3 linked regions of the Macaca mulatta genome follow. The protein of the gene in region 2 binds, or shares a complex with, the protein of the main gene of each other region. Links are inferred from orthologs where the notes say so. Each region holds a gene or a part of one and is shown on either strand. Other genes may lie near its edges. The genes, in order: PIGY, PIGC and phosphatidylinositol N-acetylglucosaminyltransferase subunit P-like.

Evidence for each region.
Region 1: PIGC (region 2) and PIGY share a complex: the UniProt entries of both Homo sapiens proteins name them as parts of the glycosylphosphatidylinositol-N-acetylglucosaminyltransferase (GPI-GnT) complex. The link is inferred for Macaca mulatta from reciprocal best matches to the Homo sapiens genes PIGC and PIGY.
Region 3: PIGC (region 2) and phosphatidylinositol N-acetylglucosaminyltransferase subunit P-like share a complex: the UniProt entries of both Homo sapiens proteins name them as parts of the glycosylphosphatidylinositol-N-acetylglucosaminyltransferase (GPI-GnT) complex. The link is inferred for Macaca mulatta from reciprocal best matches to the Homo sapiens genes PIGC and PIGP.

Annotation. Positions count from the first base shown.
Region 1 is NC_133410.1:97,843,179-97,846,850, reverse strand, and holds PIGY (phosphatidylinositol N-acetylglucosaminyltransferase subunit Y), read left to right. Parts: upstream 1-802; 5' UTR 803-891; coding exon of another isoform or gene 892-1,094; intron 1,095-2,565; coding exon of another isoform or gene 2,566-2,707; 5' UTR 2,708-2,802; coding exon 2,803-3,018; 3' UTR 3,019-3,597; downstream 3,598-3,672. UniProt on the Homo sapiens protein: Part of the glycosylphosphatidylinositol-N-acetylglucosaminyltransferase (GPI-GnT) complex that catalyzes the transfer of N-acetylglucosamine from UDP-N-acetylglucosamine to phosphatidylinositol and participates in the first step of GPI biosynthesis.
Region 2 is NC_133406.1:29,931,359-29,934,624, forward strand, and holds PIGC (phosphatidylinositol N-acetylglucosaminyltransferase subunit C), read right to left. Parts: upstream 1,958-3,266; 5' UTR 1,742-1,957; coding exon 848-1,741; 3' UTR 655-847; downstream 1-654. UniProt on the Homo sapiens protein: Part of the glycosylphosphatidylinositol-N-acetylglucosaminyltransferase (GPI-GnT) complex that catalyzes the transfer of N-acetylglucosamine from UDP-N-acetylglucosamine to phosphatidylinositol and participates in the first step of GPI biosynthesis.
Region 3 is NC_133415.1:86,726,326-86,729,335, forward strand, and holds the end of phosphatidylinositol N-acetylglucosaminyltransferase subunit P-like, read left to right. Parts: intron 1-1,740; coding exon 1,741-1,761; intron 1,762-1,997; coding exon 1,998-2,425; downstream 2,426-3,010. UniProt on the Homo sapiens protein: Part of the glycosylphosphatidylinositol-N-acetylglucosaminyltransferase (GPI-GnT) complex that catalyzes the transfer of N-acetylglucosamine from UDP-N-acetylglucosamine to phosphatidylinositol and participates in the first step of GPI biosynthesis.

The sequences.
Region 1 (3,672 bases), on a different chromosome or scaffold from region 2:
AGTCACTTGCCGAAGTAATCCGGCTACTAAACTGTGGACAGGAAACCAAGCTGTCAGGCCCCAGAGCCCAAGTTCCCATCTACTACACTGTAAGAAAGAGATCTAACATGCATCACTTCCTCGGAGAGTCGGAAGCAAACCTGGGATACAAATTCACTGAATGGATCACCCATTTGACTAACAGACATCTGCCTGTTACACAGTTATTTAGGCCCTTTGCGGCCTCCAAGCTCATTGATAGAAGTAAATTAGTTGTGCTTTATTACGCAAATACTTCACAATGACTGGGTCTCAGGCAGGAAGAATTTATATATTTTGGAGGGTCAGAGGCCTAGACCATTCCTTCCAGGTTCTCACTTTTTTAAATGAGACAGAAAGAAGTCAAACAAGATTACAGAAACTAATGGTATAGTAAAGACGTACATGAAACAAATGAACGCTTTCAATACATCCATGGCAATACATTCAATACAATACATGACAGTGTGTTTGAAACTTCACTTGGAGGTAACCACGTAGGTCCAAGCCTAACTCCCTACAACTCTGAGATCTGGCCACTGGCTTCCTAGCATCTCTGCCACAGGCCCCGGTGAAAGCCCAGACACCTCGACTTAAACACTGATTTAGTTTGTAGTCTGGTAAGGCGGCGGGGCACCCACTAGAGGCCTCAGCCCTGGGGCTGTCCTACGGCCTGCAGATGACGTCCGTGGGAAAAGCAGTCGGAGCAGGAGCACCCTCGGAACCAAAGCGCCCGCCCCGCCTACTCACCGGCAGCGTTTCCCAGAGCACCAGGGGGCGGGGCCTGGTCGGCTGGCTTGTACTACCGCGGAGCGAGGAGCTCGGCCCCGGCTGGCGGAGGCGCAGTGAGGCCTGGTCTCCGGCTGCCAGACCATGCTGAGCGGAGCACGCGGCAGGCTCGCCTCAGCGCTGCGGGGAACTAGCGCAGCGCGGTCCGCGGTCGCCTGTAGGTGTCTGCACGCGTCGGGCTCGCGGCCTTTGGCCGACCGGAGCAACGAGACGGAGGAGCCGCCCCGCGCCTTGGATCCGGCGCTGCTGGAGTTCCTGGTGTGCCCGCTCTCCAAGAAGCCGCTCAGGTGACTCGCTGGTCTTGGCCCTTCCTTCGCAGCCTCCCGGTGGGCGGAAAGGGAGTGGTGGACCGCGGCCTGTCTCAGCCACTGGGGACTTGTAGGTCGGTGAATACTCTCCGCTGCCATATTCTGGACTCTGTCCCCGCCGGTGCATGCACCTCCCCCTGCGGCGGGCAGAACGGGGGAGACCGGAGGCCAGGGGAGCCGCGTCCCACATCTCCCAGAGCACATAGCCAGCCTGCCGGAATGGCTCGAAGCGTTTTAGGCTTCGCGACCGGCTGCTCTTTGCAATCACCCGGGGACCGTTTTAAAAATGCCGATTCCCCTGCAGCCCCCAAGACGGGCAGACTTGGAATGCTCGGGGGTTGGGACCTGAACATTTGTATTTTCTTTTTTTCCTTTTAAGAGACAGGGTGCCCCCCTACGTTGCCCAGACTGGCCTAGAACTCCCACCTCAGCCTCCTCAGGAGTCGGGAGACAGGCGCCGCCCCCACGCCCAGCTTATTTGTGTTCTTAAATGGTCCCTAAATGATTTCTAACGTACCAGCAGGTTCTTGAATTACTGCGATTCAGGACAAGTCCAAAGCCATCCGGTTTTTAAGCCAAGATAATGAAAAGTATTTTACCCTCCAGATTCTTGTGAAAGTGTCTTGTACAACTGGTGCCTGACAATCTTAAGCAATTCAGCTGTGTATGCTGCCTGGTGGCTCTTAGTTGTGGCCTAGCAGATTTCTTAGAAGCCTCTTTAACCTAGTTTTTGGGAAGACAGCTCTACAGTTTCCAAGCTCCCAAAAATGGAATATTGACAACACTAACGCTAGTATTACAAATCGCATAAACGAAACACCAAAACGTTGTCAGTGGTTATCTTTGAGTGGTAGATTACTAGCAATTTTTCATATTTCTTTTTTCCCATAATAAACATATTCAGTTTTCTCAAACCTTGAAATTATTTGATTTGCGTTTATAACTAGCTCACGGCAGACTTACTGCTTTCCAAAGTTTCCTCATTTCTGCCCTCTCACCTTTTCCAGTGATTTCCTTCTAATGGATTAGTTAAGTTTTTCTACTTAGCATTTATTCTAAAACGAAGAAGTTGATTTTTCTCTAGTGTTTATTCCAGTAGTAAATTAACAGAGATGATTTGGGGGTTGACCAAAGTAATGAAGGAATATTTGGATAAGAGAGGGGGATCTTTTCTGACTAGTATGAAAAAAAAATTAAGGAATAACTTGTGAATAAGGTGAAAAAGAGAATATGAGAGAAACTGACTAAAATGGGAATAATTATAGATTCTAAGAGAATTTTTCTAAGATAAAAGGTTGAATTGGCTATCGTTGCTTTTAATTAAAGAAGACTATTCTGGGATTAACTCCATACCAAGAATTGGATAAATGGTGGTATTTGTTGAAAATCAGGCTCTTCAATTATTTTATTTTTCCACAACTCATTTTGTTCTTTTTTTTTTCCACCCCAGATATGAAGCATCAACAAATGAATTGATTAATGAAGAGTTGGGAATAGCTTATCCAATCATTGATGGGATTCCTAATATGATACCACAGGCAGCTAGGATGACGCATCAAAGTAAGAAGCAGGAAGAAGTGGAGCAGCGCTAGTTCATAATTAAAAAAACATAAAACGCAACAGCCAACTTTTCTTAGTACCATATACCTTTTAAAACACAGTGGCAGGTAATAAGTGGAAGAGAAGAATGTTTCTGTCTCTTCCTACATTGACTGTTCTTATTCCACTGGTTTCTTTAACAGGACTGTTCTACTCAGCCTCTGTGGAAGAAAACTTCCCACAGGGCTGCACTAGCACAGCCAGCCTTTGCTTTTACAGCCTGCTCTTGCCTATTACCATACCAGTGTATGTATTCTTCCACCTTTGGACTTGGATGGGTATTAAACTCTTCAGGCATAATTGATGCAACTAGAGTCAATATGCTGTATACATTAATGGTAGTTCTTGGGCATCTATCTCTGAAAGCTCAAATGGATGGAATTGAGTTTGTGGGAAAGAGGCTTTGCTTTGCGCATATCAGGCTTAGGACTGTGGGAAGCTTAAGTTGCAGGTGCTTCTTTTATTGTGCTCTTGTTCTGCCCTTGTTTTTTGAAGGCTCTGACTTATAACTGCTGTATCAGAAGAAACATTTTGACAGTGTCTTGTTGGAGATAAACATCCCTAATTGACATGTGATGACTATTTCTTATTCCATTCATCTAAAAGTCATTGAAATTTTGTTTTGCTTGTTTGTTTAGCTTCAAGGTCTTTGGTAAAGTCACATGTTAGGGATGACTGAAATAATTCCAAAGGAGTGATGTTGGAATAGTCCCTGTAAGGGAGAGAAATGCATTTGAACGAATGTGATACAAAACCATATAATGAAATAGAAATTTCATGTACTTACAAAAATTGAGTTTGTAAAATTACCTTCATTTCTTTGACATTAAATGCTTATATTAGCAATAAAGATGTTGACACTTTCCCATAAAAAATAAACCAGTTTGTAATCATTTGTTTTGTTTATTTGTTTGGTCACAGAAGTGTTATTGATACTAAGGGAAGTTGTAAAACTGCA
Region 2 (3,266 bases):
TGAATAGAAACTATCAGTTGGAGCACTGTAGCAGGTGTCTCCATTGGACATCTCCATTTGTTCACAGTTGCCATCAGTCACACAAAGCATGCCAGTTTCACTTGCTTCCGTTACTGACCTGGCCTCTAAAGGCCTTCAACACATTGCCCTAAAACCATCTTTTGCCTACTTAAGTCTCCCTATCCTCCAAGACTAAGCTCAAATGTCACTGCCTCTCATAAGTATTTCCTAATTATTCCAGCTGAAATTTATCTCCAGCTTCTGAATTCCCCCTAGCATTCTGCTTATTATGACACATCACACTCTGCTTTGTAATTAGTTGTGTATATGCTTCCGTAACAACAAGGTAGAAACTGAGTCAAGGTTAGGTAACCAATTCTGTGATATTGGGCAACAAAACTGAACACAGCACCTTGTGTTCTAGGATTTGAGCCCTAGATAAATAAAACAGCATTAGCACATTGAAAAGGGTAGAGAGAAGTGACTTTACACACACACACACACACACACGCACACACTCTTCACTCTTCATGCCCCTCTGCCTACTGTTTATGTAAAAATCATGAGACAACTTGATGAATGTGTTATTTTTTTAATAGAAACCACATCACTTCATATGTTACAGCATGTAATTCAAGAGGGTCCCAGAAAGTATTTTCATCCACAAAATAACGGAAAGGATAAGAACCCGCACCACCCAAGCCTTTGGTTCATCTTTTTTGTTTTGATCTCTGTTCTCTTACCACAATGACATGCTGCTTCCAGAATGGAACTCTGTCTTTAAGTTCTATACTAGTTAGGAGGCTAGTCTATCAGCTTGCCTTAATAACGTAATGGATGTCCTAATTTAACTGAGGAACCTGGACAAGTCTTCCTTGATTTCAGCTTCATCCCAAGGCCCATGAATGTTTTCTTTAAAAAGCTGCAAGCGAATGAGGTAGAATGGACAGAGACATGAGATAGACATCAGCAGAAGGGCAAAGAGTATGGCTCCCACAGCACTGATGGACAGTAGGCCTCCTAAGGCTGAAAATGCAAAGAGCAGTGTGACCCCCACATAGCTCCGGGGAGTACATGCCTTTAGTTTCTTCTGTAACATGGGCCATAGGGCAAAAATCTGAATGGCAAACGTCACCATGATGAAGGCATGCAGGGACCGGGGAAGACGTGAAGCCAAGCATACAGAAGCAAAGATGGCCATGTTCAAGGATAGCGTGCTGGACACAATGGCAGCATTGGCACCATAGTCAAAAAAGATGAGGTGGCCTAACAGCATGAAGACTGACATGGCATAGATGGTGTCAGTGCTGACAGACTCTGTAAGGGTTTTCAGCACTGGTGAAAACCCATAAGTGAAAGTAATGAAGACTAGGGCACTCTTCAGGTCAGCCCATCGGGTCTGCCCACTCTTCTTCCGCCCTTCACCTCCATCAATGAGATCAAACAAAACATACCCAATCAGTGAAGAAGCCAGGCCAGTCCCAAAAAGCCAATGGGGGGCCAGAAGACCCTCATCCATATACCACCAGATAACCACAAAAACACAAACACTGCACAGCTGCTGGATCACTACACTGGACTCAAATACCACAGCCCAATATTGGTATTTCCGAGCATGGATGTTTTTCCGGAGCTCTTCCAGGAATCGCCGGTCCACATAGTTATCAGGAAAGGGCTGTCGCTCATACAAGACCTTCTGCCACTTGACCTCCTTGGTGCTAGTTACAGGTTGGGCACACATTATCCTTTCATTCAAACTCAGGCCAGTTTAATCATCGCCCTCACAGAAGTCCAGGTGGTTCTTGTTCTTTATGAAGTTTTGAAATGAGACCTCCCTGGAAATTCCATGCTGTGGTTGATGTTCTATCAACCTTTCCTTGTTTTCAAAGGCAGCAACCCAGGCTAGGCCTACAACAGATGAATTTGTCTCTGAGGCAGGACAACACAGCCAAGTTCCTAGAAAAAGAGAGACTGTGAACCTACAAAAGTTGTGAAAGGTCAAGAGTAGTACTGAGTTAAAGTCAAATCAACTCAGTTTACTAAAAGTCTGAGCAAAATGTATGTGGTAGTCACCTTATTAATTTGGGACATTAAAACTGCATTTCAGACTTGAAAATTATAATTCCTTGAATAATAAAAGACATCTGTTAGCTATCATTTATTGAGTGCCTACTATGTGCTAAATGCCTTATGTATCTTCTTTCACTTAATCCTCACAACCTTGCAAGTTAGTATTAGTCCTGCTTTGGTAAAAAAGCTGAGATTCAAGATGCTTAAGTAACTTTGCCCTAAAGTAACAGAGCAGAGCCAGGATTCAAACCAAAGTCTTATCCCAAAGCCTGTGTCTGACATTGTATCTCCCTCTAAACCAGTTCTTAACTCAATGGTTCACATACCCCTTCGGTGTATCACATTGCATGTTTATATCCGGATTTGTGTGAATTTATACGGATAATATCCATAGCTTTTATTGGTTCTCAAAGGCATGTTATATTTTTTAAATTACCAATCCAAAGACAATAGTAAGCTGCACCATACAGAAAGGTATGAGCTCTACAGTTTGTTTAGCCAAAATCAAAGACTCAAAGAAACTAGACTCTTCTTCCATTAGCTGAGCTTAGCATCCTTTAAAGAGCTATCAGTCTACTCAAAACAAGGAAACTCTTGTGAGGATCCAGAAAGGTAATCATCCCTTTTTCACAATGAGAAAACTAAGAGTCAGAAACACCACAGGCATCCGGCAAATTTGAGGAAAAAAAATTTCATATTGCCCGACTTTATTTCTTCCATGAAGACCACGACAAGTGTTGCTTGGCAGGCCAGACACCGTTACCCCGCTCTCTGCAGCGGGGATCCCAGCCCGGGAATCTTAAGGCCGCCGCCGAGGCTGGAGGGTTCGCGACGCCCAAAAGGGCAGCGCCCGCCCGCAGAGTGGGGCTGGGAGGGGACAGGGTAGGGTAGGGTAGGGTAGGGTGACCCCAGGGGTGCGCCTTCACTCTCCGGGCCTCCCACTCCAGCCGCCACCCCTCACTCAGCCTTGAGCCTGCGAGAGACAGCAGAGGAGAAGGAGCCCCGGAAACACTGACAGTTACACGGAACCCACCTGCCCGAGAGTTCCTAGGGATGCGCAGCTGGGGGACGGCGGCACCCAGCCTTTTTCCCGCTCCGGGGCGCAGGGGCTGCGACTGTGGCGGAGCACTTCCGGGTCTGCCGCAATCTCCTCAGCGAGAGCACCCTTCCCCAGCCGGAACCATCGCGACGTGGCT
Region 3 (3,010 bases), on a different chromosome or scaffold from region 2:
TGCTTTTATAATGCTATTATATTCCATTTTCTGCAAGTTGCTTTTTTATGCAATAATGTGTGGGTTTTGTTTGTTTGTTTGTTTTTGAGACAAGAGTCTCACTTTATTGCCTCAACCTCCCAAGTAGCTGGGATTACAGGCATGTGCCACCATGACCCCGCTAATTTTTTGTATTTTTAGTAGAAACGAGGTTTCACCATGTTGCCCGGGTTGGTCTTGAGCTCCTGAGCTCAGGCAATCTGCTCTCCTCAGCCTCCCAAAGTGCTGGGATTACAGGTGTGAGCCACCGTGCCTGGCCTGGTTCCTGTTTTTGTAAGGAGATTGAAATGAGATGCAAATAAACAGAGAAGAGATTATATCTAAGAAATACAAACAAGTCTCTCTGCCGCCCTCACTACATGGACATAGACCCACCAAGCAATTCCACCTGCTGCTTCAACTCGTATTATTCCCAGTCGTTTACCTTCTGGCTGGCAACCTTCTCCTCCTTACCTACTTTTAATGCTCCTACCTCCATTCTGTTCTCTCTACCTTCTTCGCAGGGGCAAAAAATAAATTCCTCCCATTTTCTCATGGAAAGCTCTTAATCACATCTTCTGTTACTAGGGGCCTGGTGCTCCTGCCTCCAGTTTGTGGTTCCTCAAACACAGTTCCTTCCTGTGTCAGTTAAGGATTGCAACGTAGCAAGCCCACCCCAAAACTTAACTGTCTTAAAACAATACTACTTATTAGCTCATGAATCTCTGGGTCAGCAGTTTCGGCTGGGCTCAGCTAGGTATTATTTCTGGTCTTGGCTAGGTTCATTCAGGCACTGTGGTTAGCCAGGTGACTCTGCTTCAGGGATTGGTTGACTGTCAGTTGGGACAACAGCAGTGACTTGACCACTCGTCTCTCCTGCTCCTGCAGGCTAGCCAGGGCCTGTTCTCACAGTAGCAGCAGGACTCCAAGAGCGACAGAAGCAGCATGCAAGGCTTCTGGAGGTTCAGGCTCAGAACTGGCACGATGTCACCTCTGCCTCATTCTATTGACCAGAGCAAGTCACAGGCCAGCTTAGATTCAAGATGTCAAAAAATAAACTCCATCTCTTGATTGGAGAAGCTGCAAAGTCACATTCCAAGGGGCCTGGAAACAAGGAGGATGGGAGGACTGTGGGTTGGATTCTCTGGGAAGCAGACTCTGAGATTGAGATTAACATGCAGGAAGTTACTCAGGGAGCACTCTTGGGATCAACAGCAGAAGAAGAGCAGAGAAGGAAGCAGGATGGAGCAGAGGGAGAAATTGAAGTGCAATGTCAGAACAAAGACTTCCACTGACCTCATGGAGACCTCTGAAACTGGAATAGGTCTTCCAAGTTGTCCTGAGTAGAGGTAAGGGGACCAGGCCTCTAAGCTCCCAAGCTGATCAATCATTTATGCAGACTGCCCTGAAAAGGCAGCAGCCAAGGAAATTCCCAAAGAGGGCTTACAGCCAAGAATCATCTGCCAACACTTCTCCCAGTAGCTGGTGGAATAAATCCTTCATTCCTCAGTGGGGGAGGAGGGGTGCCTGTGCCAAACATCACAGTCCACTCGACTGCCACCTCTCCCTAAGAATGCTAATGCTTATGATAAAACGCTTGTCACTTGCTATATATGTATACATTAAATATTTATAATCACTTACTAAATGCATCGCCTAACTTGTACAGATTTTAGAAGATCACAATGCTAAATGTCACTCCTTTGAACTTAGTCGTCATAGTTTCATTGCTCATTTATCTAGGTCATCCACTCGAAACTTTAAGGGATGAGGAGAAACAGCTTCTCCATCAGAAACCTAGGGAAGAGCCGCTGGCTGGCTCCCACCCAGGGGGAGGGTCATCGTGCGCCTGTGCCTGAGTGGGAGGAGCCTTCGCGCCTAGGCCTTTCCCTCAATTTTTCTTCTTCCCCTCACCCACCCCTCCCCCACCCCACTCCCGCACTGGGGCTTCCTGGTCGGCGCTTTTGCAGGGAACTCAGCGCTGAGACTGTCTAAAGCCCCAGGAAAAATGGTGGAAAATTCACTGCTGCCAGGAAGAGCGATTTATGACTTTGTGATTCTCTTAAGCTCCCAATTTGGCTTCATACTTTACCTTGTGTGGGCTTTTATTCCTGAATCTTGGCTAAACTCCTTAGGTTTAACCTATTGGCCTCAAAAACATTGGACAGTTGCATTATCTCTCTACCTCCTTATTACTGTAGTAATTGGCTATGTGCTCTTGTTTGGGATTAACATGATGAGTACCCCTTCACTCAACTCCATTCATACAATCACAGACAACTATGCTAAAAATCAACAGCAGAAGAAATACCAAGAGGTGGCCATTCCAGCATTAAGAGTTATTTCTGCTAGTGAAGTAAACCAAATGTTATTTCTTGCAGCCAAAGACCTTTACACCAAAAACTGAAATGTATGTGGCCATGCTAATGAGAGGTGAAGCTGGCTGGGCTTCTGGGTCCGGGGGGGACTTGGAGAATTTTCTGTCTAGCTAAAGGATTGTAAACACACCAATCAGCACTCTGTGTCTAGCTAAAGGTTTGAAAATGCACCAATCAGCACTCTGTAAAAACAGACCAATCAGCACTCTGTAAAATGGACCAATCAGCAGGATGTGGACGGGGCCAAATAAGGGAGTAAAAGCTGGCCACCGAAGGCAGAAGTGGCAACCCGCTGGGGTCCCATTCCCACACTGTGGAAGCTTAGTTCTTTCGCCCTTCACAATAAATCTTGCTGCTGCTCACTGTTTGGGTCTGCACTGCCTTTATGAGCTGTAACACTCACCATGAGGCTGTGCTCTGCGGCTTCATTCCTGAAGTCAGCCAGACCAGGAACCCACGGGAAGAAAGAAACAACTCCAGATGCGCCACCTTTATGAGCTGTGACACTTACTGTGAAGGTCTGCGGCTTCACTCCTAAAGTCAGTGAGACTGGGAACCCACCAGAAGGAAGAAACTCTGGACACATCTGAACATCTGAAGGAACAAACTCTGGA